4 linked regions of the Arabidopsis thaliana genome follow. The protein of the gene in region 2 interacts with the protein of the main gene of each other region in a pairwise test. Each region holds a gene or a part of one and is shown on either strand. Other genes may lie near its edges.

Region 1 (3,158 bases), on a different chromosome or scaffold from region 2:
AGTTGTGTGTGTGGGTTCTAGAGGATGTTGAGAAACAGGAATGGTCACAGTATATCTACTCCTTGCCGAAGATTAAGGTCAATCGGATTAGAAACGACAATATTTTCGCAATGTTTTTGCCTTTGACTATATAGAGGATCTTAGTATTGACGATTCGAAGCAACTCAAGTCAAAACCACAACAACGTCGACATGTAAAGAACAAGCAGGCAATCCTCCTGCAGAACAAGTACGATTTACTAGGTAACTCAGAGTGAGGATCTTATCTTGAAAGCCAAGCCAACGAGTCAAGCTATTTTGGTTAAGAGTGTTACTTGTCATTTACAGGTTACTTACGTGTGAGCTTTATCACCCTGTTGGCGTAGAGTGAGAGCAAACTAATATTTTTTTGTATGGTTATCAAAAGGCCTATGAGGTTTTACCTAGGTGAAGAGGGCTCTCTATATCCAATAACTTGATTGTTAAGAAACCGATGTGGTCAATGATTGAATAGTTGAATTGTCAGAATTGATGTTAAAACAAGAAAGTCATGTGATATGAATACCACTGTAGATTGATTAGAGATTTGTAGTTCATTTTCTGTTGAGATCTTATGAACAAAGATTTATGCTTTATTAAAACTAAACGAACACATCAAATATGCAAAAGAATTGGACACTTAGCTTCTTAAATTTGTTTTCTCTCAACCTTTTCAAGGTCTCATTCATAGGTCTGTTTATGCTTCTTCTGTTCTTCTTGATGAGATGCTTTCCTCTAGTACTAATTAAGTCCATCACGTAATATTTTTTTTTTTTTCTAACAACACTAAAAAAAAATTAAAGATAATATAAATTTGGATGGTTATAAAAGCCCATATGTTTCTTGGGTTTCAAAAGGTTAAATTTCAAAATCACCACCCTTCCCCTAACAGAATCTAATTACATAGGTCGAACTTTTAGCAAAATACGACGAAAATGAAGAATTACGCATGATTGCTATATGTGTCAATCCGACACTTCTATAAAATATTATATGCTTTAATTACTTTTTTCTAAATGTGTAATTTTACATGTATATATATTAAACCAAGCTTAATATAATAAAATATTTAAAAGATTTTAGATAGAAGTCATTTTCAAAAAGTGGTGGTACGGTATTAGAAAATGGACATTTTGAAATTTCTCCAAACGTTTACTATTTAAGATGAATAAATTATTAAAAAATGATTTAATTCATTCAACTCAAAATTGAAAAAAATTGACCAAATTATAAAAGTAGTTTGTTCAATTTATTTATCTACTATTTTGCAGAAAAATAAGTTGAAAGTTATTTTAAATTTCCAAAAAAAAAAACACAAATTTGTTTCCTAGCCATTGAGAGAAAGAAAAATCTCAATTATTCCCAGTCATTCATTTACACACAACCATTTTCCACCCCAAAAATTCAACCAAGTTCTCATAAATTTTAGATAGGTTTTAAAAAATAAGTTGAAAGATATTTGAAATTTCCACACAACAAAAAAAAAACAATTTGTTTCCTAGCCATTGAAAGAAAAGAAAAACTCAATTAATCCCAATCATTCATTTACAAAGCCATTTTTCACCCTAAGACTTCAACCAACTTCTAATAAATCTTAGACAGGCTTTAAAAAATAAGTTATTTAGATTTCGTTCTAAGTAGTTCAATAATTTTATAGGTGAAAAAATAGATCGTGTTTTTAAATAATAAATAAAGTTATATAAATACACGTTTTAGCTGCATGATTGTTAGATGCTTTTATATTGGTTTGACCCAAATGAAGAAACCATGGTCCACAATTGTCCCCCTACTAGTCTATATGAACACCTCTTCTCACCACACACACCAAACATTCATCACAATTCCCTAAATCCTACAATCTTTCTTTTCTTCCATCACCTAAGAGTAAACCCTACCTTGCGTCCCAAGTCTCCACCGATAATGCAACCATCCACCAACATTTTTAGCCTCCATGGTTGTCCACCTTCGTACCTTTCCCATATTCCTACATCCTCACCATTTTGCGGACAAAACCCTAATCCATTCTTCAGCTTCGAAACTGGCGTGAACACTTCACAGTTCATGAGTTTGATCAGCAGCAACAACTCGACCTCAGATGAAGCAGAAGAGAATCATAAGGAGATAATAAATGAGAGGAAGCAAAAGAGGAAGATATCTAACAGAGAATCGGCAAGAAGATCGCGTATGAGGAAGCAGAGACAAGTGGATGAGCTTTGGTCACAGGTGATGTGGCTTAGGGATGAGAATCATCAGCTGCTTCGTAAGCTTAACTGCGTTTTAGAGTCTCAAGAGAAGGTTATTGAAGAGAATGTTCAGCTCAAAGAGGAAACCACTGAGCTTAAGCAAATGATTAGTGATATGCAGCTTCAGAATCAGAGTCCTTTCTCTTGCATCAGAGACGACGACGACGTTGTATAGATGATTTTTATTTTTATTTTTTTGGGGCTCTAGTATGTATCAACAAATGTATATCCAGAGATCTGTCTCAGCTTAAGATTTAATTAAGACTCTAAATTAGTAATTGTTAAAGCAGAGTTCTTCAAACTTGTGTTGCCCGTGAATAGAAGTAAGAAATTGTTTCACAATTGTTTGCATAACAAACGATAAAAATTCACATTGCTGAAGTATAATTTTAAAAAAAATTACATGCATAAATATTTTTGCAAAATGTAAATACAAGCATCAATTACTAACAGTAGACTTTCTTCTTTTTCTCTTTAAAATTTTACGTTTATAATGACCAATTTTGTTCTTTCTAAATTGGCTTAAGTAGTGTCTTTGAAAAAAATATACACCAGCCGTAAACGGTTTATTTTCTTCCATTTCCATTTGCATTTTTATGTTGAAAAATTATTAAGAAAAGAATTAAGATTGTGATTAAAATAATAAGAATATGAAAAGCAAATACGTAAATCTAACGCAAACAAAAACAATTAAGACCTTACATGGTTGTGTACTTGTGTGTGAAACTCTCGTAAATCTAATTATGTCAAGCAAAGAAGAGCTTTTATCTGTAGTATTTTAGTACCTTGTATTTTATTTTATTTTAGTACCTTGTATTGGTAGTGCATGGACTGAGGTTTTGCAAGATTTGGCTTAGAAAGCAGTTAATGCTATTTTTTAAAAACCTAAATTACACTA
Region 2 (5,069 bases):
CAAAGCTTTTTTCTTTTCTTCCTAAAATTATTGCAGCCTTCTTTTCTTAGGGCTTCACACAGCCACGTGCATTCCTCCAATTTGAAAATGAAACTTTGTATTTTAACTCTCCTATAGCAAAAAGATTATTTTCTCCATATCATGAAAATCAATGTCTTAGAGCTAGGAAGAAGGATTTTGTGATATGAGACCAAAAATTCCAATCCGAGTTTTGATCTTGTTTTCAAGTTTTGTATCACAAATATGAAAACAAAGAGATGTTTTTTGTTTCTTTACATAAAAAAAAAGAAGAGAAATTCTTTTTTTTTTTTTTGGTAAAAGAAGAGAAGAGAAATTCGTCCAATGCGTTCGTCAGTTTTGCTATTTGAACTCAATTGGATTCCAATAAGTCTACGTAAGAAAAAGGAGCTACCCTTTTTTACTAATAATTTACAGAAGAGGATGTTGCATAACAATCAATTTAGAACAATCATCTATGTCTATACTTAATTTTGAGAAACATCCATGATGGATATAAATTGTTATAACAGTGTTTAAATTTATTTGATATTCTCAATAATATATATATATATATATATATTATAATATAAGAATTCATATTTTATACTTTAAAATACAATTAATAATATTTTACAACAATAAATAAATGTATTTAAACCTAAAAGTTGGCACAAGAAAATGGAATTAAAAAATATTACTGATCTGTATGGTTTTCTTGAGGGATCGCCATGATTGATGATTCAGTTTTTACAACCCATTCAGTTCGATAGATTATCTAATATAAGATTTTTTTGTCAAATATTTTTTTTGATCTAGTATAAGTTTTTTATTTATGAAACAACAAATAAAAGATTTGGACTTAAGAATGGATAGAAGTTTTGGAATAACAATATTTGTGTCCTATGTATAAAAATTATTAGATAGAGATACAAAAATTGTTATCTGAACAAATGCAATATATCAATAGTTAGTGTACATATGAAGTCATAAGAATTACACCAAAATACTCTTTAAAAATATGAAAAAGTTGTTTATAGTGTTTTGAAAAATACCACCAAACAAAACTTTATAATTTTATTTGACCTTAGTTCTTTCTTACGGTGAAATGCAAATCAATATTTTATATATATTTTAATTATATATTCCTTGTTCCTATTTCCTTTAGACATAATCTAAAATCTTCTAACTTTTCTTCTATTAATCCTTTTCCAAATAAAGGCATAACTAATAATAAAATTTATCCTTAATTTTATCTCATATTTATTTCTATTCAACTTTTTATTTTGATCTTCTTAATATGCAAACATACATTTATATGTCTATTTTTGGGTGAAATTAAATCTCATTACCTTTTATTTCTTTCATTTAGTTATACCTTGATCTTTATCTACTAAAAATATTAAAAAATATAATCAATGTGGAAAAATCTATCTAACTAAATTTTAAATGTCATTTCAATAATTTAAATAAAGATCTGTTTATTTAAAGTGAAATGTTAATGTAATTGGTAAATATATGTTCTGTCAAGAAACTGTAATATTAATTATTCTAGCTAAATCCTAAAGTTATAACATATATTCTATAGTAAATACAGTGAAATATTTTATATTGAATTAACTATTTTTAGGCATCTTTTAGTGCATGCTATTAATTTTAAAGATATATACAATCTTTGATTAGTTGAAATATAGCTGTCAACAATTTAATATCTATCAAATAATTATACTGAGTTCTTATCTACATATTAGTAATGAACTATCTCAAAGAAATATAAGAACATAAACAAACACAAGGTCCTAATTATAGAAAAAAATCTTGATAATCAAATAAAACGAACATCTATTATCACATTTTCACAAAAAACAAAAACGAATATATTTTTATCATGCCGAAGCTAGGAATTAAGAAAAATATATAAACAAAATAAATGCTTTTTCAAAGGCTTATATGTTGTTCCTTCCCCCATAATGATCTCTTTGCCTCTCTCTCCATATAGCTCTCCCTCTCTCTCTCTTTTTCTCTCTCTTTCTCTCCATTCTAGTTCATAGCACATAGACTCATTTAAGTACGTCGCCTGTGTTGTCTTTCTCAACCATTAGTCCTTTGCTTCGATAAAGGTATTCTCTCTCTACACATTTAGACACACACATAGATTCTCTAGAACAAAGACATATTGTACTATCTGACTAATCACTATTACTGCTCTTTTTTTTTCTTGATTTTGCAGGCTAAGGAAAAAAAGAAATCTCTCTTTCTAATTTTCTTGTTTTCATTTTGGTTGAGACTTGAGATCAATGTCTTCGTCATTGGAACAGTAACCTTTCTCTTTGATTCAAACTTTCTTTCATTTTCTTCTCTTTTTTCTTGTGTGTCTGAAGAAGATTATAGTACAAGTGTCATTCTCAAAATTTTGTCTTAGGGTTTTTTAATTTTGTTACTTCAAAAACCCCTAAAAAGGCATGAACAACAACATTTTCAGTACTACTACCACCATCAATGACGACTACATGTTATTCCCTTATAATGACCATTATTCCTCACAACCATTGCTCCCTTTTAGCCCTTCTTCTTCCATTAACGACATCTTGATTCACTCCACCTCTAACACATCAAACAATCATCTTGACCATCATCATCAATTCCAACAACCTTCTCCTTTTTCTCACTTCGAATTTGCCCCGGACTGCGCCCTCCTCACCTCTTTCCACCCAGAAAACAATGGCCATGATGATAACCAAACCATCCCAAACGACAATCATCATCCATCACTTCACTTTCCCTTGAACAACACCATTGTAGAACAACCCACTGAGCCCTCGGAAACTATAAACCTTATAGAAGATTCCCAGAGAATCTCAACTTCTCAAGACCCAAAAATGAAAAAAGCCAAGAAACCCAGCAGAACGGACAGGCACAGCAAGATCAAAACGGCCAAAGGGACACGAGATCGTAGGATGAGACTCTCGCTAGATGTCGCCAAAGAGTTGTTTGGCTTACAAGACATGCTTGGATTTGACAAAGCCAGCAAAACCGTTGAATGGTTGCTTACACAAGCAAAACCTGAGATCATAAAGATCGCGACAACCCTTTCTCACCATGGCTGCTTCAGCAGCGGCGATGAGTCTCATATCCGTAAGTATCCATTCTTTTCTAGTTTTAAGTCTATTCAAGTTTTCAACTTCTATGAATTTTTTTATATCATAATCTGAAAATTGTAAATTTCCTAATTAATTAAGGACCGGTGTTAGGATCCATGGACACATCTTCTGATCTATGTGAACTTGCATCCATGTGGACGGTCGACGATAGAGGCAGCAATACTAACACGACCGGTACGACCTTAACCGTTGCCTTTCTGATTTACAATTATATATAGAGTACTTTCTATCAAAATGTTACAAAAGATAAATTATCTTATACATTAGAAACAAGAGGAAACAAGGTCGATGGGAGATCGATGAGAGGGAAGAGAAAGAGGCCAGAACCGCGAACGCCCATTTTAAAGAAGTTGTCCAAGGAGGAGAGAGCGAAAGCTAGAGAAAGAGCAAAGGGTAGAACAATGGAGAAAATGATGATGAAGATGAAAGGAAGATCACAATTAGTGAAAGTTGTGGAAGAAGACGCTCATGATCATGGTGAGATAATAAAGAATAATAATAGAAGCCAAGTGAATCGGAGTTCTTTTGAGATGACACACTGCGAAGACAAGATCGAAGAACTTTGCAAGAACGATCGTTTTGCAGTTTGCAACGAATTTATCATGAATAAGAAAGATCACATTTCAAATGAATCTTATGACTTAGTCAACTACAAACCGAACTCATCATTCCCAGTGATTAACCACCATCGCAGCCAAGGAGCAGCTAATTCCATTGAGGTACCTTATTTATATCTACGAGTCACATTTATAATTTTTATGAGTTTTTTTCCAATGGTTTTATCTAAAGCTATACACAGTTAATTCAAGTTTTAGAGGTAGGGTATATCAAATTCAATGACACTAATGCACCACCATCGATTAATTAATGCTATATATAGTTTAATTAGAAGTTAGTTTTTGTGTTTTGTGGATTGGTACTTGGTTATTACTATCTAGTTCCACATCAGCGATTCAAAGGCGCCGGTTTTTTTTAACTGACTTGGTTATACTATTATGGTTTTTATTGTTCAAATTTTCATCGATTTTTTTTTTTTTGGGGCTATGTACCTTGCAGCAGCATCAGTTTACGGATCTTCATTACTCCTTCGGCGCGAAACCAAGAGACCTCATGCACAACTATCAAAACATGTATTGAAACTGATTTCATTTAACATTAATATCTCAAATTAATGATATATAGTTTGGTGAGAGAGATATGTTAATCCATCTTATGTTTTTTTTTCTTAACATCGTAATTAATCATGTTTATATGAAGGCTTTTTCGTCATTTTAGTGTCAAATATTAAACCTATGTGAAGAAATTAATGCAATTTGTATAATATTTTGTTTTCATAGTTCGAGTGGATTTTTAACTGATATGTATCCTTTAAACGTTGTTTGTTAATATTATCTCTGTGTTGTTAAGTTTGTCTATCGTTTGCTTTTAGGAATACAACAAATGACAAAAACAAAAGGAAACGTGACAAACTGATGACAAAATTATATAAGTTAAGATTCATGATTCAATACATTCTCAATCTATATTCCTTCTGAGACCTGGACGTCAGTTCTAGTAATCAGGCAATTCAAAACCTTTCAAGCCTATTAAGTTAAATGCGATCGACAAACGTATCGGGTATCACTAGGCTTGTGATCTATGTATAAGTGGGTTAACGTACATTGTATACAGACAAGTTCATATATGCGTAATTTGTGTAATATATTACGTGGAAACTTTATCATTTTCAAATATATTTTTTATAACTGATGTGAAGCTATTTGCTTTTTCCCTTAACCAATGATAAGTTCTGCTCTAATAAATCGAAATGTCTTGGGAGTAGTAAGTTACTTCTCTATTGTGATAAGTTTGAGTTACTTAATTTGGAGAGTTTGGTTTACTCAGTTTGGTATATCATGTTCCCTAACTAGA
Region 3 (4,248 bases), on a different chromosome or scaffold from region 2:
GTCTTCTTATATTTACATCTAAGTTTATGTTTGATTATCTGAAACCCAAATTATCAAGTATTTTACGATTTTTTGAAATAAACGAAATCTGTTTATTTCCTTATTCAAATTTTATAAAATTTTGTAAGAGTGATTTGATTGAAAATGGACAACATTTGGAGACATTTTCAAAAAAAAATGTTATAAAAGGTTATTTTAAAATGCTTTCAAAAATATCAATATAATAAAGAGCGTGATTATATTTTAATTCAGAATTATTTAAGTGATCGAAAATATCATAAATTTTGTATAATTAGAGCATTTGTTCTGATATGCGACATATTTTACTATAATTTTATAGGAACCATATAAATTTAATTTTTTAACTAATTCCAGTTGCACATTTGTTTAGATGAAAATGATTTGATTGCTGCATGATATAATTTATTTACATTTAAGCATATATTTTATTCTATTTTGATGAATTGTGTGGTATTTTCGTACTTAAATTTTGATATATTGTATGTAATTGTACAACATACTCAATCATATGTTATTACTTCTAATAATTTGAATATGGACATACTCAGAAAGGTATCAAGGGCTCTTTCTCTAGCTATTGTTTCTCATATAATCTTTTCAAAATCATATATCATCACCAACTATACTCATCATTCTCGGGTACTATGAGCTCTAACTAGTGGAATGGTACTAGAACTTTGACACACCGTCTAGTTGAGATTATAGAAATTAAAGATTATGTTATATATAGTAGAAACAAAGTAGGCCAAATTCTTATAGAAAAGAATAAACAAAATTAATATAAAAGATAAATGAAAAAACGGTCTTGAATTATAAACAATTTGCTAGGTGTGATTCAACATTGTCTTTATTCAATACTTGTTGGGTCATAAACATTCAAATTGCATATTATTGTTACTCTAGTATTCAAATTGCATATTATGTTTTATCTAAACTAACTTATATATTTATTTTGATAAACATGTCATATGATATTAAACTTATTTTCAATTGATCATCTTCTAAGTTGATGCATTTTAGTATTTTATATTCAAATTTTGAGATCTTAGTATGTAATATATTTTCAGGTTTTTACTATTCATCAGTTTGATGATGCAAATATACATAGTACGAATAAAATGAGTGAAATTGTTTAATTATATGATCAGGAAGAAAAAATAATATTCCAAAATCCAAATTTTAGTGGGTAATTCTTAGCACAAAAACAAATTTTGTTTCCAAATATATCACATATTTTTCAATGTTCCACAAATAGCATTAATTGTTGAAATTTGTTATGAATAAGAATATGTTCTATAACATTATATGAATTAGAATTATCAATAGATAAAGTGTGTCAACTCAAATCGCTAAATTGTTGAAAACAATTTAATAATATATTCATTTAATATATTCTCATGTCAATATGATATGATTAGATCTATTTAGTGAGATCTTATTTAATTGTTAATTCTAATAAAACAAAAATAGTGATTATATTACTAATAAATAATATAATTGTTTAATCTTATTTTATGGAACTGTATTTCTCAACTTCAATTAAATACTGTACCTAAACCTAAAATTAAATATGCAATCAACTTGATTAATAAAAAACAACAAAATGGGGTAAGAAGTAAACAACGTTGTTAAACAAGACACGCGCTCACCAGTCGCGAGTTTGGCAATAATCATGAAATGAGCTTCTTTAAAAAAACTTTCTAGTAGATAAATTAAACAATTAAAAATCTCCGACAAGATTTAACAAAGAACAGATAATATCTTCTCCGCAAAGACAAAAGTGAAAGCGAAGAAGAAATCCTCCACGTGTCATTAGCATCTTTTAACCTGAGCCACATGATACTAGTTTCTCGAAACCCCTCTTTACGCTTTTTCACCCAAATTTTTATAAAAAGAAAAACATTATGCTTACGTGGCTTATCTTCTTCTTGCTCTTTTAAAGTAACCCCTTGACTCTGCTCCTTTCATAAACAACAACTCTCTCACCAATCTCAAAACAATTCTCTCTCTCTTTATTCTTCTTCTTCAGCTTCAGATTTCAGATCTTAAATCTTCAAGTCTTCTTCTTCTTCTTCTGCAACCATGGCTATGCAGGTTTGAGATCTATCTTCTTTGTTATTCTTTATGCAATCTTGATCTTGGTTTTGTTACTGTTGTTATGTTTCAAGTCTTGTGGAATCCAGACAGATTTAACCTAAACTTAGGTTTATGTCCGAGAGAAAATAGGTTATTTTGTTATCTAATTTCAAGTTTAATCTCTTTGTCTGAGAGAACTTGGAACTGAAGATTATTCGATTGTGGCAGGTTAAAAATTGTGTTAATAGACCAGGCGATTATGTGGGATATTATGGTCGGTTGTTTTAAAGAGAGATTACTTCTTTCTTAATGTATTGATCCGTATTAGGTAAGAACATGTCTCTAATCCCCTAATTATTACTGGTGGTCTACCTCTTCTAGTTGCGTATTAATTAGTTTTATTAGACTCTTTGTAACATTTAATTACTCTTACAATATATTAAGAGACTAATTGTGTTTTCTTACTTTGTGATTATAGGAACGTTGTGAGAGTTTATGTTCTGATGAACTTATATCTTCCTCAGATGCCTTTTACCTCAAGGTACTAATTTTGTTTCTTAATCTCTTGTTTACTCTTGATTGGTTTTGAACTTAAATATGAGGTTAATTTAGGGTTTGTTTTGTTTATAGACAAGAAAGCCTTATACCATCACTAAACAAAGAGAGAAATGGACAGAAGCAGAGCATGAGAAGTTTGTAGAAGCATTGAAACTCTATGGCAGAGCTTGGAGACGAATCGAAGGTGTGTGTGCTTATCTGACTTTAGAGAGTCTAATGCACATTCTAATCTAAGTTTGATGAAGATATAAGAAAACTACTTGGACCCTAGTAATGAGTAGAGATCTGACTTTTGTTGGTTCTTCTATGGAACAGAACATGTTGGAACAAAAACTGCAGTTCAGATTCGAAGCCATGCGCAGAAGTTCTTTACTAAGGTTTGCCTTCTTGCAGACCCTTATACATGAAAAAGTTTCAACCTCTTCGTGTTAAGCAAGGTCTAATTCAAGTTTTTCTTATTAGGTTGCTCGCGATTTTGGTGTTAGCTCTGAGTCCATTGAGATCCCGCCTCCAAGGCCAAAGAGAAAGCCGATGCATCCTTACCCTAGAAAGCTTGTGATTCCTGATGCAAAAGAGATGGTATACGCTGAACTAACCGGATCCAAGCTGATTCAGGATGAAGATAACCGATCTCCAACATCGGTTTTATCAGCTCATGGCTCAGATGGATTAGGTTCCATTGGTTCAAATTCACCTAACTCTTCTTCAGCTGAGTTATCATCTCACACAGAGGAATCATTGTCTCTAGAAGCAGAGACCAAACAGAGCCTTAAGCTCTTTGGAAAAACTTTTGTAGTTGGTGATTACAACTCTTCAATGAGTTGTGATGATTCTGAAGATGGCAAGAAGAAGCTATACTCAGAAACACAGTCTCTTCAATGTTCTTCTTCTACTTCAGAAAACGCTGAAACAGAAGTGGTAGTGTCGGAGTTCAAAAGAAGTGAGAGATCAGCTTTCTCTCAGTTAAAATCGTCGGTGACTGAGATGAACAACATGAGAGGGTTCATGCCTTACAAAAAGAGAGTAAAGGTGGAAGAAAACATTGACAATGTAAAATTATCATATCCTTTGTGGTGAAGTGTTCGTTTGTGTCAAGTCAGTTGTGTAAACTCTTTTGATCTCAACATCAGATTATGTGTATAATGTCAGAGTATTAGGGAAAGTTTTTTTGGATTAGATTCGTAAGATCACTCCAAAGTTTCGTGTCTTTCCATATAACCAGTTAGAAATTGAGATCCTTGTACTTAAACATTTTTATTTGATCAATCAAATCTTCTTGATAACTCTAAATTGTTGTACATAATAGTAGTCTCTATCAAGCATTTCATTCGAAAGGATTAACAAAAAAGATTAGGTTTACAAAAAATACATCAAAAGCAAATGTTTGAAACATAGAAACAAGTAATGCATCATAAACCCTAAGACTAGCTTCAAGTCTCTGTGACGGTTTCACTCTGTTTCAAGATCTTCCTCGTACGGTACTCGTCGACACAAAGGACACGACCTCTGACGCTTAAGCCACTCAAAGATACAATTTTGATGGAACAAATGGAAACAGTCAGGTAACAGAATGATGTTATCATCATGACTCTC
Region 4 (3,939 bases), on a different chromosome or scaffold from region 2:
GAAGAGCTACATATATCTGCGTATGTATAGAAACAGCTAGCTAGCATGCAATGTAGCGGGAAAGCGAGTGCATGGACTTCAGTGAGTGTGTCTCATATAATGCCATTTCAACTTTTAACCTAAAAAGCAAAACTCTCTCTTTGTTTCAACCAAAATACAAAACAACCACTTGCGAGAGTCAATAAAGCATCAGACAAACAACTAACCACATACACACCACAGCTTACATATATTGATGTCTTTGTACACATTCCATTGGAAATATCAAATTCTTGAAAAGATTCTTCTTGTTATCATCTCATAAACTTATTTAGTATATATTTATCAAAAATAAAAAATTAATATAAATATTATTGAGTCACCTGTTTTACTAAGAGTTTTAATATAAGTATATAACAGTACAAAAAGTTTTAGATTTCAATGTTTGTTTATATAGAAATATACTAGGTCTACCCCCTTTTCAACGGGAAATGCTATTATTATTTCCTTTTAACTTCTTGCTCTTGTACGTACGTAGGAATTAAGACAGAGATATTATTTTAACAACATCAAATGTGTCTTTATTCAGAAATTTCTCTAAATGAAACATTCCTACATACCAACGATCTAGAGAAATACTTAGATGGCCAAATCAGAAGAGAGTACAACTGATCACTAGTGAATTTGTCAAGAATAAACGCGAAAAAAAGATGAGCTAAACTGAGCATTCATAATTAAGATTACATCGCAAAAATAATCTACATAGGATACATCAAACTCGCAGATTAATAAGGGAATTCTTAAGTAGATTTTGTAGTTTTAGAGACTTATTCCTATTTTTATTTTTATTTTGAATTTCTAGATACCAATTGATTCCTCTGAACCTAAACCAGATCTACATAAGAATTCCACAATTTTCTGCCTCACCTTCATGACTTCATCTCCCTTCAGGATGGAGAGGAAAAAGCTCGAGGGTTACATTGTCAATGATTTTATTAAAAGTAGTTGCCATAGTACTACTATTTTTGTTTCTCCTGTTCTCTATCTCCAAGTTCTCAAATCCCCAGCTCCTACATGTCCTCTTGTACTCATTCTCTTCCACTAACTCCTCCTTCTCCACCATTGGTTCTCTCTACACAATCATAAAAATTATCCTTAAATATAGTTGATCAAAACCACAAAACTATACAAAATCCTTAAATTCCTACCATAATGTCTAGTGACGATGATGTTCTTGTCTTCATAGTTACACTCGGATTAAAGACACCAGTGGTCGTGAAGCTGCTTTGGCAACTTAGGCTGATGAGGTTGTTCCTCTTCTGCTTCTGTCTCTCGCGGGCTTTGTGGTTCTGGAACCAATAGAACACATTTTTCCCTTCGATTTTCCCGTACTTACCGAGTTGCAATGTGATATGCTCAATCTGTTGAGCATTAGGAGTACGCATTCCACCTTTGTACAACATCTCAAGTATCCCTATCTGTTCTTGAGTCGGGTTCCACCTTGTCCCTCCCGGGTGCGTCTCCAACTGAACCCACACATTATTTCATTACATTTGTTAGGAATCATACATTAAAATAAATAAATAAAATTAATAATAAAAGGAACCACTCCAGTCGTTATAATTTATAAATGTCAAAGTATTAGGTATGCCGCAATTATCAAAATTCTTCTAGAGTGAATTCTTCTTCTTTTTTCAAACGAAAGAAACGATGTAAAATGTACGAAGTACAATAATGGAACTGACTTGATGAGGAGGGTCTCGTTTGTGTTCAAATTTTGTCGGACCGGTTTGATCGGGTCTAATGAAGTTTTTAAGGTCAAAAGTGGCTGAAGTGACGCCGGAGGAAGAAGAAGGAGGGGAGGGAGGGCTGCCGGAGAGCTTAGGGGCGAGAGGACGGAGGCGTTTGCAGCTTAGGCTAAGGGATGATGTCGAGTCATGTTGATCCCACGATGAAGAAAACCCATTCGAAAACTCATGAACCTTCATTGCTATATGTTAAAACTAGCAAATGCTATGCATGCCTTTCTCGTTACAAGACTTAAGCTATGTATATATAGAGGAAGATAAGTGTGAAATGATAGTGTTAGTGTATAATGATATCATTGGTGATATCCAGTTGGGTAGGAAAAAGAAAAAGAATGGAAAATGAACAGATGATTTTTACAAAAGTGGGACGTCGGGAAACCAAAGACCAAATGATGGGATATGGTTGACTTTTATCATTTAAAATCTCCTTGTCCTTATTGTAAATATATACACTCAGAAATGTAAAAGCAATAGGTAAAGAACAAATTTGAAACTAATTGAAGACAGTGATCTTTGTTTGAGAAAGTGAAATCTCATTGTGTGAATATAGATATGCGTACGTGTGTCTCTACATACACGTAATACATGCGTACGTGTGATATCTGATATGTTCATGTCTGCATGGAGCACTACTTTAAATTCGGCATAGTAATGTATCAACCAAATTTTAGTTTCATGCTTACGCATGTCATGCGTGAATACCGCATAATTTATCTCTCTTATAAAATTTTCCTCTACTTGTAGTTGTAGTCTATAGTACTATGTCTTGAGATCCTATAATTTAGGCAGAATGTTGAGGGACATGAACCACGCTAAAAATAATATGTTATAGATACGTGATATCAAAAGACTTTACTATTCATTGAGATTGACATTGACCTACGAGCCAATAGGTTTGCTTTTACAGGAAAAAGGTTTGAATTTTTTTTTTTTGGGATCAAATTCTAACAAATGCATGTGATTTATTAGAAAAATCCCAAACCAAAGCTTGACAATCTTTCATTCTACTAGTTGTATAGGGACATAATTTCTCTCTCACCTTTCTTTATTTTAAGAAATTATTTTAGAAATAAAACACTGAAAAAAGTTAGCTTTAATGATAGGATGTCGAATGCTTTTCGGTGGCTCTCAAGTCTCAACTACTTTATTTAGAGAAAAGAAGAATGAGAAGAAGAATGAATAAGGGGAAAAGGTATCTTCCAATCCCAATACTCGAAATTGCTTTTATTACTTTTGTTAAGATACGGATTTTGCCTAAATTAGTGGTAGTTTATAATGAGCCAGGACAGACTTTTATGCGGAAAAGAAAAGGCTAGAAATATCTTAATGTTATATTATCATTGTTTATTTTGATAATAATACATCATTATAAATTTAAGCTTATATGTTTATTAGATATTGATACAAAAGCATGGTTTGGTTTGGCAATGTCAAGCGTCCCATTCACTTTAGATCAGTGTATTGTATTGTTATTCTCTTGTACATCGGGAACTGCAGAACCTCAATTTCCCAAGTAATTTGGGTATTTTACTAATGAAAAGTAGTAACGTATGATATTCCGGAATTACAAAGTTTTTTCTTCTAATTACTTTTGAGTTTTGACTAATATATCATCATCTTTTTATTTGATATGTAGTCTAGAATTACAAAGAACAGAGACCTTGAGTATGAACTGTGAAGAATAGTCAAAATTATTTAGTCTCGGCTAATCCAGTTATGATGCAAGTATATGTACAGTACGAAACTTACACTAATATATATGGATATCAAAGTTATGAAGGTGGAAAGTCACAGTTCATATCACTGGTTAAAACATAAAAATTGATATCATGGAGGAAATATAGAAGTACCAGTGTAGGTTGATCATGACTAATAGCTAAAATTAATAACATCTTTATCCTATGAAGATGGATTTTTTTATAGAAATTTCACATTTTTAAAAAATAATGTATACTGACAATTTTAACCTTTTAATATATTTTAAAAATAATAAAAAATATTTATCTACTTATTTACTTAGGATAAAACAGGTAAACAATTTTAAAATTTATATTAAAAATACAAAATTTGTATCTTTGTGGGACAATTTTTTTCCATAGAAAATTCATCTTTGTTGGACGGAAGGAATATGAAAGCTCAAAGTTCTAAAAAG

The links.
Region 1: the proteins of BRC1 (region 2) and bZIP43 interact in binary tests that used the Arabidopsis thaliana proteins (3 or more experiments, as listed by UniProt).
Region 3: the proteins of BRC1 (region 2) and RVE2 interact in binary tests that used the Arabidopsis thaliana proteins (3 or more experiments, as listed by UniProt).
Region 4: the proteins of BRC1 (region 2) and WOX4 interact in binary tests that used the Arabidopsis thaliana proteins (3 or more experiments, as listed by UniProt).

The regions. Positions count from the first base shown.
Region 1 is NC_003076.8:15,537,582-15,540,739, reverse strand, and holds bZIP43 (basic leucine-zipper 43), read left to right. Parts: upstream 1-1,850; 5' UTR 1,851-1,937; coding exon 1,938-2,435; 3' UTR 2,436-2,599; downstream 2,600-3,158. Other genes in the region: AT5G38810 (F-box and associated interaction domains-containing protein), read left to right, coding at 1-134. UniProt on the Arabidopsis thaliana protein: Probable transcription factor involved in somatic embryogenesis. Acts as a positive regulator of BHLH109.
Region 2 is NC_003074.8:6,381,310-6,386,378, forward strand, and holds BRC1 (TCP family transcription factor), read left to right. Parts: upstream 1-1,979; 5' UTR 1,980-2,117; intron 2,118-2,198; exon of another isoform or gene 2,199-2,227; 5' UTR 2,228-2,459; coding exon 2,460-3,132; intron 3,133-3,236; coding exon 3,237-3,332; intron 3,333-3,425; coding exon 3,426-3,961; 3' UTR 3,962-4,214; coding exon of another isoform or gene 4,215-4,295; 3' UTR 4,296-4,506; downstream 4,507-5,069. UniProt on the Arabidopsis thaliana protein: Transcription factor that prevents axillary bud outgrowth and delays early axillary bud development. Indirectly required for the auxin-induced control of apical dominance.
Region 3 is NC_003076.8:14,750,828-14,755,075, reverse strand, and holds RVE2 (Homeodomain-like superfamily protein), read left to right. Parts: upstream 1-1,987; 5' UTR 1,988-2,103; coding exon 2,104-2,115; intron 2,116-2,575; coding exon 2,576-2,638; intron 2,639-2,727; coding exon 2,728-2,839; intron 2,840-2,970; coding exon 2,971-3,032; intron 3,033-3,117; coding exon 3,118-3,732; downstream 3,733-4,248. Other genes in the region: AT5G37250 (RING/U-box superfamily protein), read right to left, coding at 4,105-4,248. UniProt on the Arabidopsis thaliana protein: Positive regulator for cold-responsive gene expression and cold tolerance. Part of a regulatory feedback loop that controls a subset of the circadian outputs and modulates the central oscillator. Negatively self-regulates its own expression.
Region 4 is NC_003070.9:17,235,987-17,239,925, forward strand, and holds WOX4 (WUSCHEL related homeobox 4), read right to left. Parts: upstream 2,200-3,939; 5' UTR 1,968-2,199; coding exon 1,725-1,967; intron 1,506-1,724; coding exon 1,188-1,505; coding exon of another isoform or gene 1,176-1,187; exon of another isoform or gene 1,112-1,175; coding exon 917-1,111; 3' UTR 538-916; downstream 1-537. UniProt on the Arabidopsis thaliana protein: Promotes differentiation and/or maintenance of the vascular procambium, the initial cells of the developing vasculature.